Linked DNA regions of Alligator mississippiensis. The protein of the gene in region 1 interacts with the protein of each later gene in a biochemical or structural test. Links are inferred from orthologs where the notes say so. Each region holds a gene or a part of one and is shown in the gene's direction. Other genes may lie near its edges. The genes, in order: PTPN11, tyrosine-protein phosphatase non-receptor type substrate 1, FRS2 and TXNIP.

The links.
Region 2: the proteins of PTPN11 (region 1) and tyrosine-protein phosphatase non-receptor type substrate 1 form a complex in vitro, tested with the Homo sapiens proteins (2 studies listed by BioGRID). The link is inferred for Alligator mississippiensis from reciprocal best matches to the Homo sapiens genes PTPN11 and SIRPA.
Region 3: the proteins of PTPN11 (region 1) and FRS2 interact in a test that uses a peptide from one of them, tested with the Homo sapiens proteins (2 studies listed by BioGRID, with this or other methods). The link is inferred for Alligator mississippiensis from reciprocal best matches to the Homo sapiens genes PTPN11 and FRS2.
Region 4: the proteins of PTPN11 (region 1) and TXNIP are reported together in a solved structure, tested with the Homo sapiens proteins (2 studies listed by BioGRID, with this or other methods). The link is inferred for Alligator mississippiensis from reciprocal best matches to the Homo sapiens genes PTPN11 and TXNIP.

What each region holds. Positions count from the first base shown.
Region 1 is NC_081833.1:3,953,406-3,961,293, forward strand, and holds the start of PTPN11 (tyrosine-protein phosphatase non-receptor type 11), read left to right. Parts: upstream 1-4,608; 5' UTR 4,609-4,742; coding exon 4,743-4,756; intron 4,757-7,888. Other genes in the region: RPL6 (large ribosomal subunit protein eL6), read right to left, coding at 249-401, 1,077-1,261, 1,689-1,737, 2,877-3,020, 3,651-3,749, 3,890-4,054, 4,451-4,477. UniProt on the Homo sapiens protein: Acts downstream of various receptor and cytoplasmic protein tyrosine kinases to participate in the signal transduction from the cell surface to the nucleus. Positively regulates MAPK signal transduction pathway. Dephosphorylates GAB1, ARHGAP35 and EGFR.
Region 2 is NC_081832.1:2,105,829-2,113,098, forward strand, and holds the start of tyrosine-protein phosphatase non-receptor type substrate 1, read left to right. Parts: upstream 1-3,898; 5' UTR 3,899-4,053; intron 4,054-4,702; 5' UTR 4,703-4,834; coding exon 4,835-4,916; intron 4,917-7,270. UniProt on the Homo sapiens protein: Immunoglobulin-like cell surface receptor for CD47. Acts as docking protein and induces translocation of PTPN6, PTPN11 and other binding partners from the cytosol to the plasma membrane.
Region 3 is NC_081827.1:69,858,895-69,866,986, forward strand, and holds the start of FRS2 (fibroblast growth factor receptor substrate 2), read left to right. Parts: upstream 1-4,943; 5' UTR 4,944-5,078; intron 5,079-6,353; exon of another isoform or gene 6,354-6,507; intron 6,508-8,092. UniProt on the Homo sapiens protein: Adapter protein that links activated FGR and NGF receptors to downstream signaling pathways.
Region 4 is NC_081838.1:17,945,385-17,952,910, reverse strand, and holds the start of TXNIP (thioredoxin-interacting protein), read left to right. Parts: upstream 1-4,351; 5' UTR 4,352-4,675; coding exon 4,676-4,925; intron 4,926-6,005; coding exon 6,006-6,078; intron 6,079-6,182; coding exon 6,183-6,330; intron 6,331-6,719; coding exon 6,720-6,822; intron 6,823-7,103; coding exon 7,104-7,360; intron 7,361-7,526. UniProt on the Homo sapiens protein: May act as an oxidative stress mediator by inhibiting thioredoxin activity or by limiting its bioavailability.

The sequences.
Region 1 (7,888 bases):
GGGGCAGGCAAAGTGGTGGCAGATAATGCAGGGAACAGAAAGGAAAGCAGCAGATCAGGCAGGGGGAAGAGGACTGGAGTGACATGCAGGGCGGGTGTGGAGCTTAATTGTGACATGCCTGCCACGAAGGTTGGCCCCCACTGCTCTGAGGAATGTATTTAATTACAAAGATAACTAGCTGGAATCAGGTGCAGAGCCTTGTTTTTTCCCCCACAAACTTTAATATTAATGTCATGCCTTTAAAATATTTAGAACACCAATTTGTGAGGATAAACTCCATTTGAGAGGGAGAATGTAGAACGCAGGTAGCCACGGAGCTGAGGCACCTTTTTGATTATTGGTAGAAGCTGTGAGTCCACTGTCTTCTGATCTGCTTTGCGTTGTTCTGTTATCTCGTATTTCTAAGAAAGAGAAGACTAAAGTTAGAATACCCCACAGATTTCAGTCTGTTATTCCTGCAGAACTTCTTCACAAGGGCCATTTCCCTGCCATGCCAAGGTTTTTAGCTGGGTAAGCTTCTCAGCACTCCATCTTCAGGAGCTGAAAAAAGGGTCATTCCTTTTGAGCCACAAGGAATAGACAGCACTGTGATGTTTTACACAGTCTCTCTTTCCCTCTATATCTATCTATATTTTTCCCCCTCAAAGAATAAAGAACAGCTCAACAGCTAGAGCTAGATTAAATTACCAGCTCAAACTACAGTGCAAATAGAGTCCCTAACACCACAATAAATAGAATACCTTCCATAGACAGGAAATCAATGGAGAGCATATTGAGAGGGAGATTTCACAACTCAACTTTATGTGCAAGACCAACTCCACCAATCTTAGGAGATGCTGTTCGCCTCCTGCTGGTTGTTTAACAGTGCAGGAGCTATTCTGAAGGCAGCACATTTTAAAATATGTGGATTCTCAAGTGTTGCTATCAAGGTTCCCATATGAGGTTAAACCGATTTGGCCTTCTATGCTTTTTAAGTTCTTTTTGAAAAGGTAGCATTAAAAATATGCTTCTAGAGGAAGACTGTCCCAACCCACTCCTTGCATCCCTACTATAAAGAGGTCACTGAAGAGCCTTACCTCCTTTTCAGTGTCAAAGATCTCGCCTTCCTGATGCTTGGGCTTACGCAACCTCTTCTTCTTGAAGTACACATCACTGAGATGCTTTGGAATTTTCACCCCTGTGATGTCAACCTTGGTGGAAGTGGCAATAACGAACTTCTGGTGAGTCCTGCGCAGAGGGACACGATTGATAGCCAAGGGTCCTAGCGGCAGACAAAAAAAATCCAAGTGAGTTACAAGAGCAGCATTTCATTTCTGAGATTGCAGCTATCTGTGCTCTAAGGAAACTAAGTTTCCCTCATGGAATAACATTCAGGTATAAAGCATATATTTCTTGCAGAGGAGAGTACTAAGCCTCATTAAAAAAAACAACAAAACACAAATTAGGACACCCTTTCTTCATGCTTTACAACACTAAAAGCTTTTTCTTATCTTGCTAGTGTTTCCAGATATTAAAACGTAAGTGAATTAATTTTCCTGGAAAGGTATATATTTCTACATAAGCAATTCCATGCCATGTAATGCCCATTGTGATACTCAGACTGCCTCAGAGATGCATGATGTAGTCAAATGTCACAGGGAGATTAAAACTAAAAATTTAAAAGAGATTTCAGTGAAAAAGTTGCTTACCTGTTACAAGCAACAGGCCACTAGCAAGCTGCTTCAGGAAGATCACACGCTGGAAATGGATACAAGAGGGCATTAGTCTTAGCCTTGCAGCATTAAGGACTGTTTACAGAGTTTAATATCTATCTATATTTAAATATATATCATTGATATATCACAACCTAAAAAGTAGAACCGTATCTACACTACTTGAATTATACTTTCTGCCAGGACAGTAAAAAAGACACATCCCCCAGGAGCCAAAACAAGCTATACTGATAAAGCATAATTTTGCCAATCTAACTGCATTCACATTAGAGCCTCTCCCAGCAGACAGAAGTCAGTCAGTCAGTCATCTTGACACCCTTGCCCAGACAGCACTTTTACTGACTGAATTTTCTGTAACGAGCAGTGCGTGTGAAAAAATTAGAGGGGGAGAAACTTTCCGTAGAAAGGTGAAGCAGCACCAGCTTTGCACCACGTGGCTCAGGTTTCAATGAATACTCCCCCCAAATAGCCTCTTTTTATGACCATGTGCGTTTGACTAGATACAAGCAAAAAATGCAAGCAGGGCAGTGAAAGGTCTAACTAGAAATTCTGTTCTAAAGTGTCAGTTACCCAAAGATGCTTTTCTTAGGATAAAGAAAATAAGTGTTGATACCAATTTGTCTTTTGATGTTTGGTTTGCTACAGTGATATTAAAAGTATTGATTTATAGCTTTCCTTTGCAATTCGTTATCCAGAATGCACGTTGCTTTATTTTGTTTTGCAATAGTTTAAATGTTGGGTCTTCCTTTTCCTAGTCAGAAATGGCAACGAATAGTATATGGTAATTAATATTATATTACTCTTGATACGCAAGTCTGACCCATGACTCCGTATCATTTGTAGAGTATGGGAACGTCCCTTTAATAGTGTCTAGGTAACTTGCCCAGTCATTCCTTTTTTTTTTCTCCTAATTCATTCTGACCACGTACAGTACAGTCTTGTTCTTGAAGCCTCCCAAAGGACCAAAGAGGGGTACTGTCCAGATAAAGCAAGACAGCAGAAAACAATATGCGTAAAATGAAATTGCACACACTGAACCACACAACTGGCGATGACCCTGACTTTATTTTAACGTGTTGAGGAGGAAGGGAATAATAACCGAGCAATCAATATAATGAAGTGCAAACACAGCATAGAAGTGTTTGTAAAAAGTTTCCCATTTACCTTGCCTCTGTGGCGACCAGTGAGAAGAATCAGAACGGTTCCTGGATTAATGCTACCCCGCAGTTTCCTCTTGTGTTGGCAGAAGGGCTTTTTGCCATGACTCAAGAGCTTACGAGGAACGTCTTCAGTTGGATAGTATCTTGGCTAGAGGGAACACACGACAAAATATGAACTGAAATATTCCAGCCTCTTTATAAAATAATTTCATTCAAATTGTGGTCTTTCCCCTTTTACAGATACTCCCTTTCATTTCATTGGGAGAGACTTGTTTTCCCCCCGCAAGGTTCTCTTTGCTGCAGGCTAGTATTTTAAGGAAGTTGGCACTTTAAAGGCACACATTTTGCATCATGTACCCAGCAGGTCACACAAAATGCAAAGATATTTGTGATTGTGCTTCTAATTCAGTACGTACGGGGTACGTGCACCTTCTTCAGACACGTCAATTCAGAGAGTACACGCATCATCTCAAATAAGATGTGCGTGTATGTGTGTGGGGAAGGGGGTCTCCCACACATGCTTCACTGAAGACAGCAATACGTCACTAGATTGAGAACATACCTACGACAGAACTCAACACTAGCGCCCAGACAGTGTCTGCTGAGGGCTGCAAGACTGCAGTCTCATAGGAGAGCAACGTAAAATCAGTACTGAATGCACTTCCCAAAACATAAAGGGCCAAAATCTCTTCCTTTTCATCAACGCAACTCAGTGTTCAGCAAGAGCAAACCTCTATTTATCTGACATCTTTTTTTGGGGGGTGGGGGGTAACCTTACCATTTTACGGACTTTCACCACCCGGTTGCCTCCATTCTTATCTCCACCAACTGGTTTGGTGATGGTAGCAGCTGCTTTTTCTTTCTTTTTCTTTTCTATCTGCACAAGAAGACAACAAAGGAACGGGTTAAGAATCAGAACAAGTTAATGAGTAGGGCTAATGAAAGATCATCACATTCACCTAAAGAACCTCGTCTGCCAGAACAAATGAACGCACAGACAGCTTGTTTTCCATATACCTTTGTTTCTGGGGCCGTGTACTTGCGCTTGTACATCGCTTTCCGGGCGTACATGGCTGACCGGGAGTATTTCCCGATCCCTCGGGCCAGCACAGGGTTGCGGCTGGCATGGTGCTTCCGGGGCTTCTTAGCCTTCTTCTCACCTGCCGCCTTCTCGCCTGCCATCTAGCCAATAGGAGGGCACAGCATCAGTTACAGCACGTGGATGGGCAGAGCAGCCAAGAAAAAGAGAAGAGGAGCCGTGGTTCAAGAAACCCCACGGGAACCCCTGTACAGGCGGAGACCGGAAAGGAGCAGCCCAGGGCTGCTGACTGCCTTGCACAGGCCGGGAAGACAAGCAGCGAGCATGCCCGGATGGAGGAGCCGGGGCCGGGCCGGGGAAGGGAAGATGCAGGCCCTCCTGCTCCGGCCGCCGGGATCAGCTATGCCCGGCCGCTGCCCGCCCCGCATCGCGCCCCCCCGGAGCCCGCCAGCATCCCCCCGGGCCCCGGCAGCGCCCCCCGGAGGCGGATGGCGGCGGATGGCCCGCAGCGCCGCCCAGCCCGGCTCCGCCATCCTCACCTTCCGAGAAGGAAAAGGGGTGGACATCCGGGCACCCGGCGCTAAAGAGCGCGGCGCGTGACGCCACCGCGCCCGCCCCGGGGCAGGCCGGGAGATGTAGTCCTGCGTCTCTCAAGCGCGGGTGGGGGGGGAGGAAGAGGTCGCTGTTTGATGACGTTGCTGGCCGCGCCGCGCCTCTGGGGCCTGGAGGCGGCGGCCGTGCACGCTCCCCTCAGGGCCCCGTCGGCCGCGGCCCGCTGCGGGGGGAGGCCGGCAGGGGCGCGGCCCTGTGGCGGGCCCAAGCCGCGGGAAGATGACATCGCGGAGGTGAGGCGGGAGCCGGGCCCCTCCCCCCCCCGCTTCCCCGCCCCTCCCCCCGCGATGAGGGGACCTGGCCCCCCCCTCAAGGACGGGGCGGCCCCTGCCTCGGGGGGGGGAGAGGGGCAGCGCCTTCCCTGTGGGGCTGGAGAGTCCTTCCGGGCGGGATCGGGCCCCTTTATGGCGCGCTTCCCCGGTGCGCATTTATTGCGCGCTCCAGTCCGTGGAGTGATGGTGACTTGGCACAAGTGGCCAGGGGCACAGTTCACCGGTGAGTCGTGCCATCCTGCCTTCACACGGGTGCCCCGGCTGCATTTATTGCGCGACTTGGCAGCAAATTGTGCAGTCGTGACTTCGCACGGGGGCTTGGGCTGCATTTATTGCGCGATTCGGCAGTGAATCGTTCAGTCGTGACTTCTCATGGAGGGGACAGCTGCATTTATTGCACCTTTCGCTAGACAGTTGTGTGTGTGTGACTTCACGTGGGTGGCTGGTGGGAGTTTATTGCGCAGTTCACCAGGCAGTTGTGCAAATGTGACTTTGCACGGGTGGCTGGTACGAATTTGTTGTACGAATCATCAGCGAATGGTGTGATTGCGCCTTCACGTGGATGGTCAGTCTGAATTTATTGCGCATTTTACCAGTCAGTTGTGTGATCGCAACTTTGCGTGGGGGCTGGACTGAATTTATTGCGTGCCGCACCAGTGAATTGTGCGATTGTGACTTCGTGTGGGTGGCTGGTGTGAATTTATTGGCACGTTGCATGATCATCACTTTGCATGTGTGGCCGGTGTGAATGTATCGTGCGATTCACCAGTGAATGGTGTGATAATTCCTTCGCACGCACTAGTAGGCCGTCTTCCTTTGTATGTGCGGCCGGCTTATGTTTCTTGTGCAGTTAACCAGTTAATTGTGTAATCTGCTTAATTTGTAGCAGGGGCCACTGAGTTGTTCCACGTTTTCAAGCCCTGGCTTTGTAGCTGGCTGGCTCTTTTGAGAGCTGGAGAATCCTTTTTATGGCGTGATCGTTATCTTGCACAGGTGGCCCATCTGGGTTTATTGCGCAAGATATGTAATGTGTACCAGGGGCCTTGGAAATCCTCCCTGTAGCCATTCCACCCAGGAAGAGTGCACACCAACTGCAGATGCTTCCTCAGCCTGGTGAAAGAGTATTTATACCCGAAAGCTTGAAAAGAAGGATTTTTACAGCTATTTGAGTTGATCTAATAAAAGATATCGGATTTACCCAGAGAACCTCGTCTCCCTCTCTCTGACGCATTCATCTGCAGCCCCTGAACTCGTGGCCCCATGATGAGAGCGATAGTGCACTTAATGGACAGCCTTTTCTTTTACTCCTCTTATTCTGGTCCTTGGCCGTGTTTTCCTTTTTGGATTCAGTTTGTTCTGGTTGTTGAGCTCGGGAGGGTGAAACTGGATGGCTCGGTTTCATTCACCCTTCTCCTATCCCCTAGCACTGTGATTTTTCAACCGGGGCACCCTGAGGCGCTACCAGAACTTTTGAAGGGTGCTTTGAGGAGAGAAGCGGCGAAACTAAGCAGATAAGTGCAGGCTCAGGCTTGTCCCTGCCTGGATAATATCCTGTCACCACTGCCCAGCCTCTCTGCAAGGAGGCAAGCCTGTAATCTGTGCTACTGTGTTCACAAAAGTGGTGGAGAGGGGCCTTGAGTCTAGTGAGGAGGGGTGCCTCTAGTCCAGAAAGGATGAGAACCACCTCTGTAGTTGGTGTTATGTTAGGAAGGAAGAGGTGCACGTGTGTGGCAGTGATTCTCAGCTGGGATGCCATGGTGCTCTGGGGTGGCTTGGGATCCTTTCAGGGGTGCTATGGGGTGCCACACACTTAGCTGTGCAAGCACAATGTGCAAGATAAACCCAGAGCTTTCAAAAGAAAGACCACAGCAAGTCAGAAAGTTTTTTTTAATACTATGAAATTCTTTTTAACAGAAGAATTGCTGTTATTTTTCTGTAATTTTCACTTTCTGAGGGGAGCTTTGCATCTAAAAAGGTTAAGAATCACCCGTGTGTGGGTTCTTCGGTGTTTGTTTATAGTGAGTTTTTGTATTCTCCTCTACCCATCCTTGCAAATATAGCTGCTTAGGTTAGTTGAGCACTTCTTAAAAGTATGTGTTTGTTTTCTGGCTTGTGAGTGCGGAAGTTTAAATTGGAAATTGCTCATGAAAAAGAATGGGCAAAGATAATGCAGGTAGAGGGCGAGCCTATAAATAGGATTAATTACATTAAAAGTCACCACCTCCTGATAGCTCCACTTGTGGCAGCCAAGGCTTAGAAGTGATTTTATCAGTACTGCAGTCAAAAAGGGAGATCCAATTTGTTTGCCTTGTCGCAAAATGGAAAAGTGTATTGATTTTTTTTTTGGTTTGTTTCTCTTTTCAAGCGGGAAAATAATGCCGTTTGTTTCTCCCCACTACAGGTACCGATTATTCCAATTCTAATAAGAAAACAGAAACGTGCAGTTAATATAGCACATGATTGAAGAATGTCCTCAAACATGGCAGTTCTGCAAATAGACGTTTTGTACAGTCACGTCTTAGTGATTGAGAATTTATCTGAAGCAAGAGCATGTTCCCTGCTGCGCACATGATTCTCTTGGGAGGGTAGGAGGGTGAAGGCCCTCTTCTCTGATATCCCCATTCCCTTTGTAAATGAGGAGTGACAGTCTCGTTGGTTACCTTTTTGCATTAATAGCTTTGCCTTATTTTGAAATGCCAAGTGATGCAGAGTGCTGCATGGCAGAATCTATTAAATCCAAATAGCTTTGGGAAACATTATGCCCACAGTGAGGATTGATGGTTTAATTAGACTATGCTTCTATACATTACTTTTTTGGTTGCATTATAGGCTCTCAGTCTTTTGCTGGGAATAACTCTTGTGTGTGCTTAGATCAGAGATGGAAAAAGGAAAGCAGAAAAAAAAATTAAAATACATTCCATCTCTATAAAAGGAAGCGTAAGAGAAAATCCTTTATAGAGTTTACATTACTGCTATCTGTGTCTCTGCAATCCCTAGTGCTGGAAGGGATGTGGCCACCTTGGTTCAAAAGCATACGTGGTGGCAGAACTTCAGAGGAAGCGATCTCGATTACCGGTCCGGAACCATTTAACG
Region 2 (7,270 bases), on another chromosome or scaffold:
GGGCACAGGCAAAGCACTTCAGTCTGCAAAGGCAGCTGCCAGGCTGGGGGCAGAGCTGGACGCAGCCTGCAGCTGGGTTTTGAACGGTGCCGACCTGAGTGCACAGTGCCCAGGACTCATACGGGACATCCCACAGCCAAGCTAAACAAGTGGCCTCAACCCACCTCTCTCAACGAGGGATGCCGGCACTGCCTGCCTCTCTCAGGCCTCGAGCTGACGTTCATACCCTGCCGAGGCAACAGAAGATCTTTGTTTCCCCTGTACGGACAGCATGGGTGAAGGGAAATACCCTTTGCTCGTGGAGCAGGTGAAGGGGGTGCATCCCCTTAGGGAAGACGGCGGTCACATGCACGCACCCATTCAAGACCGAGTCATGAACAAACTGGCTGAGACCTGGGGCTGGGCTGCAAGATGGGAACATGGCACCACAGAGAAGAGGGATCTTCCCAGGCCCCAGCCGTGCTTCTGCATCGCTGCACATAACGCTGAGCCCTGGAAGGGAAGCCAGGGCTGGCCATTTAGCTGAGGCTACTGGAAAGAGACTCCAAGGGCCTGCAGCCTGTCCAGCAACCAACCCAGAGGGTCTCCCAGCCGCATCCCTCGTGCTTCCCCGAGAGCAGGATGGAGAGTGCTTCCGGCACGGCCGGCCCCACTCAGCAGTGAAAGCAAATCTGTTCCTGACAAGCTCTCCTGGGAGCTTCCCCTTCCTCAGCCCAGGCGCGACTGCAAGTTACTTATGACTGCACTTGGCAGAGCAGCTCCGGACGCACCGAGCCTGGCCAGGACCCGCCGAGAGGGTGCAAACACCCAGCCCCTTTGCTGCATGACTTCTGAACCCACCTGGAAGAGCTGCAGAGGTGAAGGCAAACCTGGGCCCAGCCCTCCGTGCCGCTCTCTCAGCTGAAGTGGCAATTGCAGGTTAAATAAAGAAGCAGCAGCTAAAGTTTCTGAGCGAAGCCTGGCTGCCCAATAATAGTATTTAGAGTCTGGCAGTACTACCCTTCCCCTGATGAATAGCACAGCAAGCCTCCTGTTCGCTGTGGGTGTTTGATTCTGAAGGAAACTACTAATTATGGCATTATGCCTTCTGAAAGGCTCCCAGCTCTTGCGCTCCCGCGCGGGCGCCCAACATCGGGGGGGGAACGGCACTCTCATCTCAGGCAGGTCCTTATTAACCTGCAGCCCCTACCACTGCGTCAGGGCCCCCCTCGAGGGGCAGGTCCCGGAAGACCCGGCACTCTTGGACAGGGACTTTCTGGAGGGAGGACAGCTGATCGTCTGCCTCTTCCAGGGGAGCAACACCGGCTGATTCCCATGCACAACTCATGCTTCCACCTGCGGGCCTTCGCCCTGCTTTCTTCCCCCCCGCCGTGCTCAGTATCTTTCCTTCTTCGCCGCTCTGTAGCTGCTGTCTGCCAGCATGGCATCTCCGCCTCATAAGCGCCTTCAAACAGGTTGTCTAAGCCGTCGGCGCAGGGCGGGAGAGCAGCCCAGGCATGCCCGAGTGGCACGGGCCTCCCGGCATTTTGACTCCCATTAAAAATAACCACGAGGCTGCAGACAGCTGGACGTGCCTCCCTGCGTCCCTGTGGAAAGAGGAGCCCTGCATCCTGCGTGGGCAGCAGAGCAGCTGCTCTGAAGTCGGACCTGCATGGAGAGGGGGAATGAAGGCAGTTGCAGGGAGCCCACGCGGACCCCACCTTCCCACTGCTCTGCAAGGGAGCATTTCCAGCACAGCCCTGGGACCGCCTGCCTTGAAACAGGGCCTGAACATGGGACCAAATGGGCCTGAATGTAGGAGCAAATGACTGATTGCAATGGAGCTCCACCCTGGGGCCAAATGGCTCTCACAGGCTCACGAACCGAACACTGCTCACTTGTGCACAAGTCAAAATGGGAGCAGCGAACGGCTGCCTCGGTGGGTGGCGGTGGCCTTGGCTGGATGCAGGCTGGAAATCTGCAATCGCGGGGTGATGGCAGCAGCCAGGAGCCCCTCGTGCAGCCTGGGGCTCTGTGGAGAGGGGCACCGCGCCAACAGGCAGCAAGACGTGCGGTCCCTCTGGTCCTGGCCTGGCTCCGCCGGCAAACTCAATTAAGGCTGGATGCAACATGTGGGTGTTGCAAACAATAGGGCAGAGGAGGCTTGCAGCAATAAGCACACAAATTTGTATGGGCTGACAATACACACAGCTTGATGGCTCCAAATCACTCGAGATGCCTTTGCTATTTGTTGATGATAAGATATAAATACAGGGAATGGCATCGGCGCTGGCGCATCTTCCCTGGGGTGGAGTGTTGTGGTGAGCAGGGGCGAAGGCAGGCAGCAAGCCAGAAAAGCTCTCCAGAGCACGGGAACAGCTCTTGGTCTACTTGGTGCCCACCCACCTGCCCGCCTGGCCTCGGACAGTCCTTGCCCAGCAGGAGCATAACGGCCAGCTTGCCCTAGGACGAACCTGGGAGTTCCTCTTGTTCGCATATGCAGCAAAAGCAGAAATGACTGCCCAGTTGGACTTTCCCACCTCGGTGGAAGCTGCTTACTCAGCCCCTGTGGGCAGAGGGACCCTGCGGTTGCTTCCCTAAGCGAGCTGTGAGCACACCAGCCCGTGTGTCTACAACAGCAAAGATCTAGCAGCCGTGCAGGCTGCGGCCCATCCCCGATGCCCCCGTCCTCGACTACGAAGGGGGCTGGTGCTGAAGCTTGCTCATGGCTAGCTCGCTCTATGGCCCTGCAGTTAGCTAGATGGTAGTATGGCCATACTCGTGGGCTGTACAGACACCGCCTGCGACTGCTGTGCTGCACGCTCCCCCCATCGTGTGCAGTCACCAGGTAGAGCAGAGGCAGGGAGCAGGTCCCGCAGCTTCATGCCACCAGCTCCACACGCCTGGGCCCGCAGCAAGTTCCTGCCGGAAGGAGCCCACAGATCCTTGCCTGGCTCCAGTACAAGTGCCTGCGCTGCTCGCCCCTTTTAAGAGATGCCAGAAGGAAGGCCTGGGCCTGAGTGGGTTGTGGCGGGGCTACACCTGCCTCTGGTCCTCAGACACAGTGCGTGTGTGCATGGGGAGGCGAGGCACTGGGACACTTGCAGATCTCAGTCTTGGGCCTCCCAGGCAGCTGCAAACAGGACCTTGTCCCCTCCCCTCCTCAGTTTCTACTCCAGCATCTCATCCCCGGCTTCTCCCACCTCCACGCTCTTCCTGCCGTGCACGACCTCCCGGGGGGTTTCCCCTTAGCTCATGACGAGCATCATGTCGCAAGGTGCCAGGCCGGGGATGCTGCTTGTGCATTTCCCCCGCGGTCTTTTGTGCTCTCACCTGGGACGAAGCGGGGGGCACTTGCACGCGTGCTCCCGGGAACAGCGGGTGCAGAGTTTGTGGCCTGGCTGGCTGGGACAAGGCACGGGTATGCCGGAGAGAGGGGCGCTGAGCAGCTGGGCATGGGGGAAGCGAGAAGACCGGGTGCTGGGGGGGAGCAGAGCCCCTCCCTCCAGCCTGGGTCACCGTGCCCACAGCAGGATGCAGAGAGAAGGTGCGAGGCCACCCTCTTTGGGTGAAACCCTTGCTGCTTTTCCAGCCCTAGCAGCCACCAAGCCCGCGGTGCGTGCAGCAGAGCAGAGCAGGGCAGCGCCCGGGGCCGCGCGCGAGGCAGTGGCAGGGAGGGTCAGGGCTGCCTTCTCCCCGCCTCTCCCTGCCGGCGCAGAGGAGCGGGCTGGCTGCGGGAACTGCTCGGGGCCACCTTAAGAGCCGCGCTGGCCGGGGCGGGCGGCCGGGATGACCTTAGCGCAGAACAAGTTTGCTCCGAGCCTGGCACTGGCAGCGCCCGCCGGCACCAGCGCCCCGCAGCCCGCAGCCCGCAGCCCGAGCCCGGCCCCCGCCAGGCGGGGCGGGGCGGGGCGGGGCGGGAGGGAGGCTGGTCCACGCGGGGAAGCGGCCCCTCCACGCGGCGCTAGGCAACGCGCAGGGGGCGGCGCGGAGCCCGCATCGCCGCGGCTGCGGGAGCGCACAGAGCCGGGAGCCGCGGCCGCAGCACGGGCAGCCCCGCACCGCCCCGGCCGGGTGAGACGCGGGCGGCCACCCCGCTCGGCTTTGGGCATCCCAAGCTGGCCCCGGGCTGCCGCATTGCCCCCCCGCCCGCCGGGACACCCCGGCTGGGAAGGGGCCATGGATGGGGAGCCAGGGGGTGCATCGCCACCGGTGCCTGGGGACCCTAGGAAGGGGTTGCTGGGTGGGGAGCCAGGGGGTGCATTGCCACCGGTGCCTGGGGACCCCTAGGAAGGGGTTGCTAGATGGGGAGCCAGGGGGTGCATCGCCACCGGTGCCTGGGGACCCCTAGGAAGGGGTTGCTGGGTGGGGAGCCAGGGGGTGCATTGCCACCAGTGCCTGGGGACCCCCAGGAAGGGGATGCTGGATGGGGAGTGAGGGGGTGCATCGCCACCGGTGCCTGGGGACCCCCAGGAAGGGGTTGCTGGGTGGGGAGCAAAGGGGGTGCATCACCACCAGAGCCTGGGGACCCCTAGGAAGGGGTCAATGGATGGGTAGTGAGGGGGCGCATCGCCACCGGTGCCCATGGCTGGACGGGGAGCGAGGGGGCTCCTCTCCATCCGCCCCCAAGGTTCCAGGTCCCACCCTCGACACGCGTGGGCAGGTCAGTGCAGGGTGCTTGAATCGCGTGCCTTGGTAACACGCGTGTGCTCTGCGCCTGCAGGCTGAGTTGCCCGGCTTTTCTTCCTCATTGCGGGCTGCGGACAGCGTAATTTCCTTCTGCCTCTGACCTTCCCGGAGCAGCACCCAGCCCTTCTGTGCAACTGTTCCCCATCGGCCCTGCCAGCTGCCAGCGATGGAGCCTCTCGCCGCTGCCTCCCGCTGCCCTGTCTGGTGCCTGACCTCTCTCTTCCTCTTCTCCTTGAACAGCTGGGCAGGTAAGTGAGGACTCCCCTGTAGGATCTGCCTCCCCTTCCTGGCAGGAGGGTTTTTGTCTGTAACCTTGAACCTGTCCCTTCCCTCCCTACCCCCTCCTTCCCTGGAGTCTGGCTCCCATCAGCCTCCCGCGATGCAAATCTCTTCCAGCCACTCAACTCGGGTGCACCAAAATACTCCTCTGCACGCTGACCTATAATTACTGCAGCACTACAGCAGGGGCTGGGGAGAGAGCTGGGAATTAAAGGGGCTGGAGATGTCTGGCGTGCCTGGCAGGCTGACGGTGGCAGGAAGCAGGGTGCCAGCCCCAGCCCCCTCAAGGCTGCAGAGCTGCTTTGCAAGTGCCTGGTGCCCGTTTTTGTTCCTCTTTCCCGGTGAGAAGCAGCAAAGGGCATAAGGGGCTGCGGGCAGCAAGGACACAGCCTGAGGTGGTGCAGCCCCGCTGATGTGAGGTGCTTAGCAAGTGAAAACAGAGCGGTTGTGCCCCTCCACTGCCGTGCAACCTGGGGCTCACGGGCAGCCCCACAGGACAGCAGGAGGCGCAGGGAGACCTGCCCTCGGTGCGCTGGGACGTGCATCGCCCCAGCTTGCACGGTTCATGTCATGTTGGTGCAGGTTGCCTTGCTTGGTATCAGTTGTAGGGTTGGTTTTGTGTGGGGGGTGGGGGGGTTTGGTGGGGGGAGGAAGGTGGCAACTAATACCCAGCCCACACACAGCTTGCTGCCCCAGCCAAGCTGTACCCTCTAATTGAGGCACTCATGCTACCCACCTGGTACCTGGGCACCTCCCAGATGCCTGGCTTACACTCCTGCCTAATGATTGAATGGTGCACGGATCTGGAGCGGACACGGTCTCGCTCCTTTTCCTGTCGTTGAGTTCCCTTTTTCCACTCCGCTCTGTCCCTCGGTGTCGGTAACTGTCTCTCCGTTATCAGGAACCGAGTTGTGTGACCACAGTGGACATCAGCACTTTGTTTGCAGCTGGGAAAGGGGCAGTAATTATGCTCTGCTGTAGGGATTAAGCAACCCTGCTCCTCCTGCTCAAGGTCACTGGTGTTCATGCAGGGCTCCCACTTCCCACCCCGATTTGGGCTCAGCTGGGACCAGTGTCAGAGCAGCGTGGCGCGGCTAGGGGGCACCCTGCGGGGGAACACAGCCCCATTTCAACCCCTTGAGTTTGCTCTGGTGCCCTCCAGCAGCATCAGAGGCCAACCTGCCAGGTCCATCCCACCCACCGCTCCCCCTCTCATCCCCAGGCCCAGCCCCTGGGCAGATGTTCCACATCACGCCTTACTGCCCGGATGGGGGGGAGGAGAAGGCATGTGCAAAAGCCAGGCCTGCTCGTTAGGGCTGATCACAAATCACCAATGCTTTATTTTCAGTGGAAAATGGAGCATGGCCAAATGAGAGCTCGAGCTGAAGCAGGTGCTTCTAGCACGGCGTCTCAATTTTCTTTTTTTAGACGGAAAAAAACCAAAACTCCCCGCACTTGAAAGTGCTTCAGGTCCTGGTGGCTGAAACCTTAAATGTTCAGCTTGGAGTTTCTACCTCCCCACCCCCCGCCACTGCAAAAGGAGTTAAAAAAAAAAAAGAAGTCTTTTTGGCAATATTTTTGCAGAATAAAACCCATTCTCTAGCCAGCTGTAACCCTGATCCCTGGGATGGGAAATGCAGGGAATCATCAAGTCTCTAGATTACCAGTCATTTGAATCCTAGGAAGTGCTGAATTCTCAGATGCAGACGCACAAGGCTGGCTCGGTGCTGGTGTCGGGTTTAATGCATGGGCCAACTCTTCTATGCTGCTTGCTCCGTTTACTGCGGTGGGGCTAGAAGGCGCGCACAGCTCTCCTGTGTAGGTCAGAGGGCTGCAACCACATAGCGCCAGAAGAGGAGCAGGGGAAATAATATTATAAAGAAGTTTTCCTACTGCACCAGAGAAGGGCAAACGGCCCATCCTGGGTAAAGCCATCCTCAGACTAGATGCCCCATCTCCACCGAGTGTACTGGACTGGCACGGCTCAACTCCCAGGCCCTTCCATCCAGATCTCCCCAGCAAAGGAGCTTGGGGTCAGCGCTCCCGGGCTGGGCTATAAGCAGCAGGTCTGCTGGTGGCATGGGAGGAGGGGACGATATCTGGGGGAACCGCGTGTGCTTTCTGCTGGCGTCGCATCCGTGACCTACCCCCTTGCTGTAACCCACCAGCGCCTTCTGAGAAGCCGGGCAATTTCGGCACAACTTCCCAGGGCTTTTTTAATAGCAAGCACCTGCTAACATTCCTCCCCAGCCATTCCCATTTGGGGAAGCAGCAAGCATAGCCCCCCGCGAGTTATTTCTGCATTGCCCCTGTGCCAGCCCCC
Region 3 (8,092 bases), on another chromosome or scaffold:
ACAATTATTTCTTGAGGGTGAGATTCACTGTCAGGTTGCTTCTGAAAAGTCAGGTGTCTAATGTATCTGTCAGTTAATTGGAACATTGAAAGACGGTGGAAAAAAGATGGAAGTAAGCACTGCTGAAGGTAGCTGGTTTTTTGGATGTTATATTATTACTGGCAAATCATTTACAAACTACGGGCAATTTCTTCTGTATAGAACATAAGCTAATGTTGGTTCAAATTGTGAAAGTCTTTACATTAAAAAATAAAAGGTTTGTTTTAAAGCTTTGGACCGTAATTTGTAGACCTATGCACATGTTTTAGTTCATAGAATACTGCTAAGCCTGTGAATGAATCTTTGCATTAGAAAAAATCATTGCTGTTTCCCCATAAAAATGTACATGTTTTCTTTTCCTTTGAAGCTCATGAATATATCAACACATGATCACTGTAGATGGATCACTCAAGCATGCAAGGCTGTTTAAAGAATCAGGGCATTAGTTAAATGAATAGTTACCAAATTTTATATATATTTTTTTTCAAACTGAGTTGGAAATATCCAGCATTGTTTTAATGTTTCTGGAAAATTCAACACAACTTCTAATAATCGTGGTTTGAGTTTTAACCACATACTTTATTTTTGGAATGAGGGAATTAATATCGCTGGAAGAGAATGTTTTTGTGTCAAAAAGAATTGCCCTTTGCTATTTTCAGTACTGCTCAACATGAAATTATTTCTGCTGATATAAGAGCCTCTGAAAACAGAAATTTCTACTCAGCATGTAATTATATTAAAGGGATAGGGAACTTAAAATTTGGTTTTATCATAAGTTCTACTGTTGAGTGGAAAAATCTTTGTGAGTAACATATAATTATTGTTCATGATAAACCAGACTTAATTGTATTATGTTTTGGAAATATTTTCATTGACTTTAAAACATCTATTTCATCCTTCACTGTTCAAATAAATGGTGAGAAGCTCCTCAAAAACTGTTAACATACAATACTCTCATGTCTTTAGAAAGGTTTGCCTTTTGTATTTAATAATATAAAATGCATGTTTATTACAACTGGAGAAAGCAATTATATAAAAAAGAAGTGTTCTTCTTAAACTCTCTTTTTTATAGAATGGTGTCTTATCCATACTGCAGTAGTTTGTATGTTTTTTCTAATAAATAGCAAAACTCTCACTAACTTTAACCATTCATGACTGGGTCCATGTGTATAAAGGATATTAACTTTTATTAATTTCAGTTCTATGGAGTTCTCTTTAAGGGTTTAGGATTTTCAAACATTAAATTGGTAGGCAGTTCATAAATTCCACTTGCAGACCTTTCATCTTGGTTATTAGCAAAATCACCCTATTCTCAATTCCTACACATTATGGTTAAAGAAATTAGGGGTATCATATAAATGTCTCTCTGAAGGAATTAAAAAATGGATGCCATATGTATTCAATAACAAATGTTTGATTAATAGCTCTGACTCCTACTGTCAGTTATCTTCTGTAATCCATTATAAAAGCATATTAGGAAGCACACTGTCTCTAAGCATTTCTGTATATTTGCTTCTGTACAGACAATTAAATGCTAATTCATATAGCAACTTGGAGTAATTAGTCTTAGCATTTCACTTGTCATCTATATTTCTATAGGCTCATCAAGGAAATGAACAGGCAACCTGGTCAAAGCCAAATTAAAAGAAAGTTATGCATACATTTGGCGAGAAAATTTTCCAGTGTGACCTTAAAGCAAAGGTACCACAAGTACACATGTTCACATACAGCCAGTACAATTGCAAGAAGAATGGAACACATTGCTAGACAAAAGATGAGAGGAAACATTATTGGAACTGATGGGTGAAGTATATGTATAATGCTCCCCAAGACAGAGTCAGAATTTCCTAGTGAAAGCCTCTCACCCAATCCCAATTATGAAAGCACAATGTTTAGAGGTATAAAGATCAGCCCCAATAGGATTTTTTTAAAGATCTGGGCAGTTAGACTACAATAACGGGAATCTGGTTATAAAATGTGTTATAGGATTTGTGGCATGCTGTGTGGGGGTTGTGGATATTGTCTCAAATATACTGTACTAAAATTGTGAAGAAATAAGTAGCTCAGGATTTGATCTAATTCATCTCAAATGGAGACTACAGTTGAGAAGTGTACACCTATTTAAAAAGGGGCAAAATGTGGTTAGCAGACACAGTGGATGTGCTAATACTTGACTTGATTTTATTACAGCTATAACTGAAATAAATTCTATTTTATTCTATTCTGTACTGGTTCTTATGCTACACTATTGCCTTAAATGTCGGGAAACACATTCAATGAATTTAGTTGGTGGAAATTGCCTTTACAAATATGGTTCAGGCAAAGCCAATGAGTTGTAAACCATTGGTGTGCAGTGGGTATATTAGATTATGCTGAAAGATGTAAGAGGCAGGCAAGCCTCCAAATGAAGCATTCTGACACCTTTAAAATGGGAAATGATGGTTTATGATCAGTTTCCAGTTTGAAACTGAACCCAAAGAAAATGTGCATTGTTTATAATTGGTGTGGGTGGAGGGGTGGGGATCGCTGAGGGGCGGAGGGGCAATTTCTACTGACAAAAAGGTAAATTGGAGCTGTGCTGTACCAGCCAACTCCCCAGGCACTCAGATGTGTAGACTTCTCTTCTCCTATTATACAAGATTAATTTGTAGGTTTGCCAATACTGGAAAACCATCGCATAGCTTGGGTGAGAGAGGGAAACCATTTAGGGGCCAGCAAAGTGAGATTTAGCTGTTTTGGAGTTGAAAATGGCTTGCTCCTATTTTAGCCTACCCATTTTTCAAAACCCTCTTCAGAATGGACACGGATGCCAGTGGTTACAAGTCAGGGACATTATTACCACAAAAACAAAAAGAACTTGAGATGGTGGTGGCTTTTTACTTTAGTTTAAGTTCATCTTGGAAGAAATTATTGTATCGCTTGAAAGGAACTCTGGAGTGGTAAATCTATAGAAGGTGGTCACCACTGTTTGTACTGGAGATAATCTGTTAGCAAAGCAGACCATTCACCCCTGCAACAACCCTTGAGGAATCCTAAGAGACAACTTGCAAGGGGTTAGACAGATTGCAGTGCCATGATTTCACAGCCATATGCTGACATGGGCACAAGCACGATAATAAGGGTATCTTAATTTGCTGGCTTTTTTAGTAGACGAATCACAAACATTGCCCTTAATAGAGCAATGAAAAGGCTGCATAAAGCATGAGTGTGCTTTGAAAGATATGTGTTTCCTCTCTTCCCTTAATTTGCAGGAATGCAAATTCTCTTGATACAGGGGTGTAGGTTGTAGCCGTGCTGGTCTAAGGACATAGGCAGGCAAGGTTCTTTGGGTGAATCTATGTTTTATTAGACCAACTTAAATAGTTAAGCTGGTCTAATAAAAAGGTATCAGATTCACCCAAAGAACCTTATCTGCCTAATTCTCTTGGTAAACTGTAACCTCTGTGACTGGCTGTGGGATAGTTATGTAGAAAGCAGGGGAATAACTTGTTGAAGCAGCCAGGTGAGACAGCCATCTTGCAAGAAACACTTGAGCTACTTTCTAAAGTATGACAGCTGCAACGGAGGGAACCACTGACCCAAACTCAGAGCATTAACAAGTTTCATTGAAGCGGGCAGAATCGAGTTGCTGAGTGAAAGTGTAAGAGGCTTGGTAGTGTGTGGTGGAGATGCATGTCAGCAACCTGAAGAAGATAGAGGAGGAAGCAAAAAAGTCAGGCAGAGAATAAGAGAGAAGCAATTGTAGTACAGCCTGAGAGGAGGATGAAGGTGAGCTTTTTGGGCAGTATGGGATGCAAAGGAACTACGGCAAGTTTGATTCCTTTTGTGTCCTGGGGCACGGCACGCATTCTTTTGCAAGTATATGGAACTGCATCCAAAAAATACACAACTCCACCATCAGTTTTTCCTCCTTGTGGAAACACCCATCCCACAGGTTCCCAAATATTGACTGACTGGATCAAAAGAGGTAATTTCACAAACACTTATAAGCAGTTCTAGATTTCAAACTCCTGAGGACAGTGACCCATCTCGCCTGTTAACAAGCACGCTGACAAGACAGTACCTGAAGAACCACAGGACAGTCCTACAGAAAGGAAGCAAGAAAGACATGGTCCTAAACTTTTTTAAAAGCAGGAAGGTCCCAAAGGTCATGCTGTGATGAGGACCAGAGGCAGCTGTGTGCTACTTCCCTGTATCTTTCTTGCAGTTTTCCAAACCTCTTTACACTTCTCCTTTTAGTGCCAGTGTTGTCACCTCCCTTTTTATAAGAAATCATGTGAGAAACTGGGGGCGGGGGGGCTGAAATAGCAGAGCACCGCCTAAAATGACAGCGGGATGTCAGCCAAGGAGAAAGGCCCTGAGACCCACCCCCCCTGCTCTCTCCATGTTGGGTAAAACCAGCTGCAGCTTTTGCCAGGTTGCCCCAGACATGGCCTTGGCTTCCCCGCGGCCTCTGATGCAGCTGCCTAGACTTATTTCTGCAGGCTTAGGAGCTGTGGAAGGCGGCTGGCCAATCCAGCCCCAGGCGCCACCACTTCGGCCCGCAGAACCGATACTACTGGTGCCCTATCCGCGTGCCGAAGCAGCGAGAGCCAGCTCCGTGTCCCTGGGCGGGCGGGCACGCCGTCCGGCACCGAGGCCCTCGACAGCTCCCCTCTGCCCCGCAGCACCGGGTCGCACGGGCAGTGCCTGCCCCGCGCTCCAACTCCATGCAAAAGAACAGCCAGTCACTGAACGCGCTCACTGAACGATTTGCATACGCGGTTGTCATGGCAGCCACCACCCCCCCCCCAGTCGCTCTCCCTTCCTATTGGCTGTTCCCGCGCCGGCCGCTTCGGGCCCCTTGGCCGTGTCTCCCCGCCCTGGCCCTTTCCCGCTGCCCCCGGAAGTAGTTGTGGGGGTGCCTCGGAAGTAGTTCGGGCAGAGTCCGGCCCAGAGCGAGGCCCTGTTGGTGCCGCTGTTGGGAGTTGCTGTTGGTAGCGGCGGCGGCACTCGGAGCCCGGCCCGGCCCCGCGGCCAGGCCCGGGCTCATGGCGGAGGTGAGTGCCGGGAGGGCCCCGTGCGCAGGCTCGCAGTCTCCTGGGGCCGGGGCTCCCCCTGTGCCCCCCACCCGTGAGGCGCCGGCGGCCGCAGCCCGCGCAGGGCGACGGGAGCGGAGCCGGCCAGGGCGGTTGGCGGGAGGCGACGGGCGAGAGCAGAAGCCCCGGTCTGGGGAGCGTTTGCTGCCGGCTCAGCTCGAGCCGGGAGCCTGGAGGGGCAGGAGCGGGCCCCCTCGCCCTGTCTGCGCACACGGAGGCCGGGAGGGTCCTGGTGTCCCGCCCTCCCCTTGATGCTGTCCCGGAGGTTCCCCAGACCCGCTTGGCGGCGGGTGCCCTGGGGCTGAAGGGTCCTGGGGGAGTGGTGCTGCAGGTCCCCCCGCGGCTGCGGTGCTCGCACGGCTTGTCCGCAGGTGGCAGTGACCAGGGAGCGCCTGTGAGGCGCCTGAGTGATTAGTCACAGTGCAACATCGTGCTTAGCGGTGGGGAAGGAGGTAGGACGAGTCAGGCTTGGCATCAGCCTGGCCTCTGTGGTGCTCTGTGCTGCTGACCAGCTCTTTTTGGGCGACTTTTTTTATTCCTTTTTATTTTTTCCCTAGCAACTTCTTTTTGAATGTGCTCTTCAAATGCTTTCTTATTCTGCTGGACAGGCTTCAGGAGAAGTGATGTCTATTGACTGGGTCAAGCTGTAGGTCCTTTTTGGTTGGTCTCTTGTGTCACACTGGGCTTCAGGCAGGAACTGGCCCCCTTTCTTCCCAGTTGCATAGTGGCAGAGAGTGCATGCTGACAGACCAAACTGGGTATGACCAGGGTTTTTTCCTTCCCCACTGTTTCTCTCTCACTTGCAGCCTCTAGCATTAAGGTCTAGGGCAGGGGTTCTCAACCTTTTTTGTACCAGGACCCATTTGTAAACATTGATGGCTAGTCCCAACCCAGTGCTTGTCACTCCTGATCCACTGCCCCCAGACCCCAGTTCCTCATTGTGTGGGGCAGGGGGGCCCAAGCAGCCCCTTGCAGGCTGGAGCTCTGCCAGCTTGCAAGGGAAAAGCCACGGTTTCCCATGTTTTTCTCCTTTAAAGGCGAATCCATTATTGATCCATTTTTAAAGTTTCTTCTTGACCCTTTCATATATTCTTGTGACCCACTTTTGTGTCCTGACCCATGGGCTGAGAAATGCTGGGCTAGGAAGTTCTGATTCAGAGGCTGCACCCCTGACTCCCATGCTCAGTAGCTACTGATGACTGTTTCCTCCAAGAGTTTATCCTCTCTCTTTTTTAGTCTGGCTAAGCTGTCAACTTGCGCAACATCTCATGGCAGTGAATTCCACGCTTCAATGGCATGCTGTATGAAACAGAGCTTCCTTTTGTTCATTTGAAACTTATTACCTACTCGTTTCATTTTGTGACCCTCCTAGTTCTTGTCTTGTGAGAGGGTGAGTAATAAATCTCTCTACTTTCTCTTTGCCATTTAGTATTTTGGTAAACCCTGATGTCCTCCCTCAAGCATCTCTCTTCTAAACTTAATAGGCCTAGTCTGTTTAATGTCTTCTCTTATGGAAACCCCACCTGACTGCTAATCATGTGTATTGTCTTTCTTTGGATCTTCTCTGGTTCTTGTGCCCTTTTTGAGGTGTGGAGACCAAAACTGGGTACAGTATTCAAGGTGTGGATGCATTGTGAATTTATGAAAGAGAAAGCATGCACTTTTTTCCTGAATAGTTGTCGATTTCAAGCTGCTTTGATATTGGCAGTTTCTTTACACTAATATTCTTCTGGATGCAATTTAGTAGCTGAGCAGTCTAGTTTCTAGAAGGGGAAAAGCTATATGGGTTTTTGTATGGTTCCGTGGTGCATTAAAATGTTTTGCTATTAAGATGTATAGGTTCAGTTCCAGAAAGTGCCCAATATCAGTACTGAAGTTAGCTAGAAGTGGAGTCCCATATACATATTCCTCAGTTTCCACTGCACTGAAAACACTCTTTTCTCTCTCCTTTTTTAAAAAGGAAATGCATGTTATATTGGTAGCAATTACCCATCAAACTCTAAATTCAGTCCCTTTCTCATTTGCCTTTCATTTGATTATTGCCCCCTGATTAACATGTGCTTCTGTGTCAAAAATGTGTTGGAAGTGCTTATTAAAACAGTATTCCAGTAACCATATTCATATGTTTAATTTTTCCTTCCATGATTTTGCTTTCTTTCCAGTTCAGCGTCTTAATTTAAATTTTGACCATTCTTTGTATCCACCAAAGACTGTAATCTTTTCTATGCAGCCTCTTCAAGTGTAGTAATTCTATAATGTGTTGAAAAAATCCTAGATTCTGATAATATGGAAAATAGTTCTAAAAAAGATGTGCATAGATTCCAAACTTATTGTTTAAATATTGCATAGCAATGTATGTATCTCTCACTCATGTAACAAACCATGGTAGTGTTATAAAGGGGAGAATTTATTTTATAAATGTTGTTTAGCTTTGTACACAAAATGGTCATTTTTGTTGTTTTGAACTGCTGCTGTTTTATGGGACTTCTCCACAAATGGTCTTCAAGACTGTGAATTTCAGCTTAGCTTGGTGGAAAGAAATGTTAGGTCAGTTCTACCTGGAAATCAATCGTATAAAAGAAATGTGGATAAAATACACTGGCTGTGAGTAGCAAGGCTAATTAACCAAATAAAAGTTAGAATGATTCTGTTGGGTAGTAGCTGTGCCTAGAGATGACCTTTACTAAGTTAAGACTAAAACTAAGTTCAGAGCTCAGTGAAAATAGATGTTAGTTCTTAAGTGGCAGATGCATTGGACAAAGAGCAAATTCTCAACATTTTCTCAAAAATGATTTGTGCGTGTGTAGTTATGTCTAAAAGTATTTTCAATAACCAGATTCTATTCTAGTCCATTTGTTAAGCAGCCTTTAAATAGCTCTAGCCTGTTTTACCTTACATTCAGTTATGTGCAAATAGGTGCTCTGCTATTCATTCTTGTTTGCCACTTTGCAGTCATTGATACAAACTCTAGAACT
Region 4 (7,526 bases), on another chromosome or scaffold:
GCATTTCTTTTGGCTCAGACCCGCACAACTACCAAATATATCCCTAAAAACTTTTAAGGTGTTAATGTGCACACAGTCCAGGGGTTAAGAGCTCTAAGAGCTACCCCAAGTTACCATGCAACAAGGCTCTTACAATGAGAAATGTCTCATTTCTGTTCATAGGCAGACAAGGTTCCTTGGGTGAATTTGATATCTTTTATTAGACCAACCCAAATGGTTGGAGAATAGTTATTAAGCAAGCTTTCGGGTTCAGAAACCCTTCGTCAGGCTAAGGAAGCTTCAGCAGTTGGTGTGTGCTCTTCCTGTTCAGGAAGGCGAAGCAGAATATGTCTATCTCTGCTATATTTTGAGCCCAGGCAGTCATTGCTCCTAATACCCCATTGCTGGAGAAGAATGGGGCTCTGGGCTGGGCTCTGAATCATCCCAGGGTTTGTGTGATGATGAGGAAAGACAGCCAGGGTCAGTGATGAATAGAAAAGAGATGTCCCTGCAGGAACCAGCTTCCTTTAGGCACTTATCATGTAGTGGTGACAAGAAACAAGCAATGCCACGCATGTGGGGCTTGCAAAACTCAGCTCCCTGCTCATGCTGTGAAAATGTATGTCTTCTGTGCTTCTTTTACTCTCTTACTCCCAGTCCTGTCAGAGGAAGTGGTTTTTTCAGTATTCCTTCTCAACCCCGCCCTGTGCATGACAGTCGAGTTTTGTTCTTGGGCCATTGTGAGTGGCTTGTTAGTCCCCTTCCTGACCTTCCTGGAGGAAACCTTATATGGCTAAAATATATCTCATGGAAACATCATCATCAAAACTCCTTGGAGTTCTGCGCATGGTAACAGCCACTTGCAACCAAGTCACAGGCTGCTTCTAGCAACAGTCAAAGACGGGAGCCACACCATCTGCAGTGAAACAAAGGACACACTGGGTGCATCTACACATGCATTTACTGCGCAGTAATTTACCGCACAGTAAATTACTCCACAGTAAGTGGTTTTTAGGCCAGCGTCTACACACGCAGGCATTACAGAGCAGTAATGCTGTGTGTGGACTGACTTGGGCCTAAAGTTAGTCCCAAGTCCATCTACACACGCAGTGTTAATGCATAGTAAGGCATCTACACATGCCTTACTGTGCAGTAACTAATCGGGCATAAATTTGCTACCTGTATCATGCAGGTAGCAAATTTACACCCGAGTAAGCGTAAGTCACTATAGTTGCTGCGCAGTATAGATGTGCACCTGTACTGTGCAGTGATTTTGGTTACCTAATTACTGTACAGTAATTGTGCACCTGTAGACATGCCCACTGAAGAGACATGCCACTGATTTCTGCCTGTGACACGGACAATAGCTTTTTCTGACTGTGATCAATGTCAAGGTTTTTAGACCAGGTAATAAAGATTTCATGAGTAATCTTGTGCATCCAATCTTGATTATAGTAAGGACTCAGAGCAGCAAGGAGCAGAAAGCAGCTCCAGAGGACCAGGAATAGTATGTGGTTTTGAAATGTGCTTTCAGTGGCTCTATCCCTACTGTGTTTGAGCTGCATTAGCTGATTTGAACCGTGTTCAAAATCAGCTTAGTTAGCAAAGCACAGAGCAGACAGAGCCGTAAAGCACTGTCCAACAGAGGTGTTACCGTAGTCGGGCAGTTTATTGGCACTGATCTCCCTTCAGTGATTTCACTAGGCTTCTGTCTGGCATCTTCTCTTTGGAAATGATGTGATAAACTAACGACTGTATTTTACAAGCCAAAATAGCTTGGTAAAGAAGAAAATGCTAGACTTCCCAAACTATATAGGCCACCTTGAACCTTTGTTATCTGAGAAGCTCTAATATACTGTCCATAATGGAAAACTTTTGAATACAGAGTCCCATCCTGAGATGCTCCCCTACCCGTGTGATAGTGAGGCATCTTCAGTCAGATTAGGGTCAGGGGAGCTAAAGGTCAAAAACAGGTTGGCAGAAAAGCAAGGCTGGACAGGATTCAGTTTTGGGAACGTGCCTTGGATCGCCGCACTGGCTGGCTGCCTGGCCCAGAGTTAAAATGTCCTTTGACATCTGTGGTATGTGCAGTGTCGCAGTCTGAGAGAAAGCAGCAACACACTGCAGTTTTGCAAGGGCCTGACTGTACTGCCAAAAAGCAGTACGTCGTTGGGCCGACACCTGCACTAAAGGGAGCCAAAGAAGCTGGATTTAATGCACTTAAAGGAATGCAGCGTATTCTGATAAGGAACATGGCATTTTATCCAGACCAACAGTCCATCTAATCCCTTATCCTACAGCCTGCCGCTATCCAGCCTATTGGCTATTTATCTCCATATTCCACCACCTGCCAAATTAGATCAGGTCTATGGCCCCCATAGCTCAATATCCCTCTTCTTATCGTACTGATGCAGAGCCCTAGTATGCTTGGCTGACACTAGAGGTTTCAGGAAAAGGTGCAGTCCTTCCTCTATTGGTCGACTGTAATCGCACAGTGCTCTGTCATCAAGAGGAAATTCCTTCTTTAAAAGAGCAGGTGATCAGTTTATGCCCTAACACATGAAGATGGCCAGGGGTGGATACATACACCGAATTGCAGCGTAAGGCAGAAGACAGAAATGCCAGCTTCATTACTGCAATGCACAGACACAGGGGGCAAAAGGCAGCAAAACAGCATAACTATCCTGGTGACTTACGCTACTTCTCCTAGGGAAGGGGCACAAGTTTAGATGCAAAAGGAAGTTTCTTGATTTCCCCTAATCCTGCTCCTAAAATGTGCGTTTTGCTACTTACAACCCATTTTTAACATGGCTTTTTGTGTGAACTCAGTTACTGCGAGAAGAAAACCGCTTTTCAAACTATCCCAAAACGGGCCACAGCGGTTTAGAAACGGGGTGAAAGCCTGGCAAAACCCTGAGAGGTGCTGCGTAGGCAGAACGACATGAGCCCTACATTCGCTCCTTCCCTAAAGGCGGGGGGGAGGTTTTTATTTTGTGCCGAATGTCGCATGAAGCACGTTCTTCAGGGAGCTGGGACCTGATCGGGCAAAAAGCCCATTTCCCAAGGATTCGCCCAGCCCGAGAGCTAAACATCGTGCTCCTAACAAATAAGCAATTGTCTCCTGTTTTTCACATCGCTGCCTTTGATTTCCTGCGCAGCAAGCAGTCACCCTCGTACGGCGCGTGGCAACATGGTGTAACACAAGCAAAGGGCTGGGGGGGAGGGGGGGGACTTGTGCAAATCTCAGATAGTCCCAACGTGATTAAAGGAGAAATGGGGTTTTTTGGAGGGGAAGTCTAGCGATGCCCCTTTTTGCAATCAATGCGGGTGTCCAGGGTGGTATCTTTTGGAGCATGGGGGAGGATTTGGAGTTCAATTGAAGAGTTACAGAGGATTGACCCCCCCCAAATCCAGTCATGGTGTGCGGTATAGATTTGGGGGGACTGACTACCCAGCCCCAGCACTGTGTGAGGGGAGGCCGGGGGGGCAATATGTGTGTGGGGGGATATTATGGGGGGCTATGGGCTGCCATGTAGCATTTGAAGGGAGACGCTGGAGGCCTCAAATGGTGCCTAAACCGCGTGAGGAGCAGAGGGAAAGAGGACCTGCCTTCCCACAGCCACGGTGGAGATAGTGGGGGGCTTCAGACAGCCGGCACAGCGCGTGTAAGGGGGTGGGCCGCCCTCCCGCGCTGGGTGGAAGGGATGGCGCTGAGGGGCTGTCAAACCACCCCTATCGGGGACCCTGCGCCGAGGGGGCTGAGCTATTGGCCTGCATGGAGCCATTGAAGGGAATGGGGGGCTGCGTATTGCACCCCCATAGCAGCTCTGAGGGGCAGGGGGTCTGTACTGCTCCCCCATAGCAGCTATAAGGGAGGGGGGGTGTACTGCTCCCCCCACAGCAGCTGTGAGGGGGAAGGACACGTGATTTTGGGCTGCCTCTATTATCAGTACAGGATTTGGGGGGTCGGGGCTGGGAGCAGCCACCCCCACAGGGGAACCCCTGGCAAGGAACCCCCCCCGTGACGTGACACTCCCGAGTCACAGAAGAAAAGAAAAAAAAAAAAAATCCCCTCACAGCCCAGGAGCCTGATTGGCTCCGAGAGCCTCTCAGCTTCGCCTCTCATTGGCCTCCCGCTGCGTCACTCCGCGCATCACCCCACCCCCTTCAGAACCCTGCATCTCTTCACACACTGTCCACGCTCCGCGGCCGGCGCGCCGATTGGCCGGCGAGCACGTAAACAAGGCAGCGGCAGCCAATGGGAGCGCTGATCACGCGAGCAGCACGCTTCCACGCGCCCTCAGCGTGGCATGGAGGTGATCAACAACCGAAGTGCGGGGAGGCTGAGAGTATAAAAGCGCCGCATCCGGCGCGTCTTGGCGCAAAGCCTGGCAGGCTCCGAGCAGAGCGGAGCTCCTTGCTGCTGAGCTGCGGCCAGAATACCACAGACGGCATCTCTGCTCCCTTCCCTCGGATTCCAGCGCCCAGGCCAAAAACTAAAAAGGGGCTTAATTTTTCAGCCAGCAATCTAAAAAAAAAATAGCTTTTTTCTTTTTTTCTGCACGATTTTTGATACCATTCAATTCCAAGCCCCAGGCTTTTGGGGTTTTTTCCCTTGTATTTTGGCCATTCCAGTTGAGCCTTAGCCCCCTTCCTCTCCTAGTCCCGTCTAAACCAAGCCAACTTTCCTGCCACCATGGTGATGTTCAAGAAGATCAAGACTTTCGAGCTGGTTTTCAGCGAGCCCGGCAAGGTCTACTTCAGCGGGGAGAAAGTGGCCGGCCGTGTGCTGGTGGAAGTGACCGACGTCACCCGAGTCACAGCCATGAAGGTGTTGGCCTGTGGCGTGGCCAAGGTCAACTGGGCCAAGGGCCCCCACCACTGCAAGCAGGAGATGGAGTACCTCCGCTACGAGGACGTCCTGACCCTGGATGACAAACCCACTGGTGAGAACCCGAGACCTAAATAATACGACCTAAATTGTAGGGCTCTTCTGCCCCCAAAAAAGCCTCTTTTTTGCCCAAAAATGCTTTTAAAGCAGGGTTAGATCAAAAATGAAAGGTTGGATTGAGTAATATTGGAGGTGCTGGGGTGTTTTAACACAATAGGATACTTGGCAGCCAAGTAGGGCTTTATCTGTGGTTGTTTTTGGCACTTGGCTCTGCTAGCGGCTCTTTTTTTTACTCCAGTATTTTGAGGTTTTGTGGTTATGTCCTGGCAAAAAGGTCCTAGAAGTATCTTAATGATTCATTTGGACCTGGATAAACTAGCAGAGAGCCTTAGTTGGTCTGCTGTAGGAAGCGTGTCTAAAGTTTGAGACAGAGGAGTAACAAAACTCGGGGGGTGTAGTGACAATTGGGAGATTGCAGCCGGCAGCGAAGACCTTAAAGAGGTTGATGCGGCAGGAGTAGCATCCCCAAAGGATGGGAGCGAATGTTATTGGCAGGGTAGCTGTATTGTGAACAAGCTTCCTGAGCTGCATGGAGAGGCGAAGTAATTACAGTGTGCGAGTACAGTATGCAGGACAGGTGTTACAGCTGGGGAGCCGCTCCTCTCTTGGCACAGGGAGTGATGGGCGCTGTGATTTCCTGGCTCTCTGGCACAGGGAGTTACTCCCGCCCCCGAGGCAGGTTGGAAGAAGGCACAGCTTCCCCGCTTGGCAGGGTTGTGTGTAAAAGAGTGACAGGCAAGACCAGGGATGATGTGAAATGCCTTGGATAGTTTTCCAACTTCTTTATTGGCCCAGATAGAGATTTGCAGTGGATTATTTGGTGGGAGGGAGGATGTAGAGGCCAGCTCTGAGTCCTTACTTAAGAGGATGATTAAGAAGCACGAAAAGATTGCAATGGCAATATAGCAGAAGTTTTTCAGAACGTTTCTAAGTAACAGCATAGATTATACCCAGCACAGCAAACTTTGGCACTTGTGTTGTTTCTGCTGAGACAGGATGTTGTGACAAAGCTGAGAACATGCAGCAAGACTTGAGGTTTTTAACTTCCTCTCTCTTTTTTTTTCCCCCATTGCAGATGAGGATGGCTCTGTGATCTTGAGACCTGGGAACAAATACGAATACAAGTTTGGATTTGAGCTTCCTCAAGGGTAGGTATTGATCAAACACGGCATCAGAAATGCTAGCCTTGTGACAAAATTCCCTCGGTTGTTATTTGTGCGTGTGTTTTTAATGAGCTCCTCTTGTATTGCAGACCCCTTGGTACTACCTTCAAAGGGAAGTACGGCTGTGTAGATTACTGGGTGAAGGCTTTCTTGGAGCGCCCATCAGTCCCACCTCAGGAGACAAAGAAGCATTTTGAGGTCCAGGACCCTGTTGACATCAACACTCCAGATCTACTGGTAATTGTTATATTCTTGGGTGTTGTTGGGGCAATGGTGGGGCTGTTTGCTAGAGGTGGTTCAGAGGGATATTTGCTATGTATGTAAATTTTACAGTTCCAGGGCAGATTAAGTATTGTCTCCTAAGGAGATGAGTGCTCCATATTGCTCAAAGCCCTAATGGAAGTCTAGGTTAGTTGTTTGAGATGGGTTACCTTTCTCTTGAGCTATGTACATCAGTGAGTGTCCATGAAACAGGACACTGGAATCTACCTGGAGATGCAAATTAAACCGCATGGAATACAAAATGTTATGGCAGCAGTCTGGCAGGATATGGACAGGATAGAATAGGGCGCACACAACAGGCTGTCTTCATTTGTTGTAACCAAATCCCTCTGAATCTTTTCCAGTCTCCCGTCTCTGCCAAGAAGGAGAAGAAGGTGTCCTGCATGTTCTTTCCTGATGGCCATGTGTCTGTCAGTGCCAGGATTGACAGGAAGGGGTTCTGCGAAGGTGAGCCTGGCTTCCCAGGAGGACTGGGAGATGAGGGGGCTGAATGGGACAGTGCTTGAAAAGAGCATTGCTCTGAGCAAGAGGGGAGGAGAAGGGCATGACATTGAACCATGTGATACTACTGAGCAAGGGAAGTGGGCTGTGAATCAGAGAAACTTCCCAATTAGATTGGGCTTCTCTGCTTTAACCAGTGTAGACTTCGCCATGAATAAGCTGTAAGAGAATCATCTCCACCGTGGGTAAGACCTTCCCTGTAACTAAACAATCCTGTCTTCTTTCAGGGGATGAAATCTGCATCAATGCAGACTTTGAGAACACATGCTCCCGCATCGTGGTACCCAAGGCAGCCATCGTTTCCAAGCACACCTACCTAGCAAATGGCGAGACCAAAGTTTTCGTTCAGAAACTCTCCTGTGTGCGTGGCAACCACATCATCTCGGGCATGTCTGACACCTGGCGGGGCAAAACAATCCGTGTCAGGAAGATCAAACCCTCTATCCTGGGCTGCAACATCTTGCGCGTGGAGTACTTCCTGCAGGTAAGGGTCGTGGGTACTGAAGGATCTCTCTTCCACACCAGGCCCATCATCGGGGAACATAGCATGTGCAGTTGTCCTGCCAGGGACCCCTCTCCTCCCTTAGATTTGCTCTTTGGAGTTTCTTTCAGGGCTTTGATACCTGCAGTGGTCTCACAAGCCAGTGGAA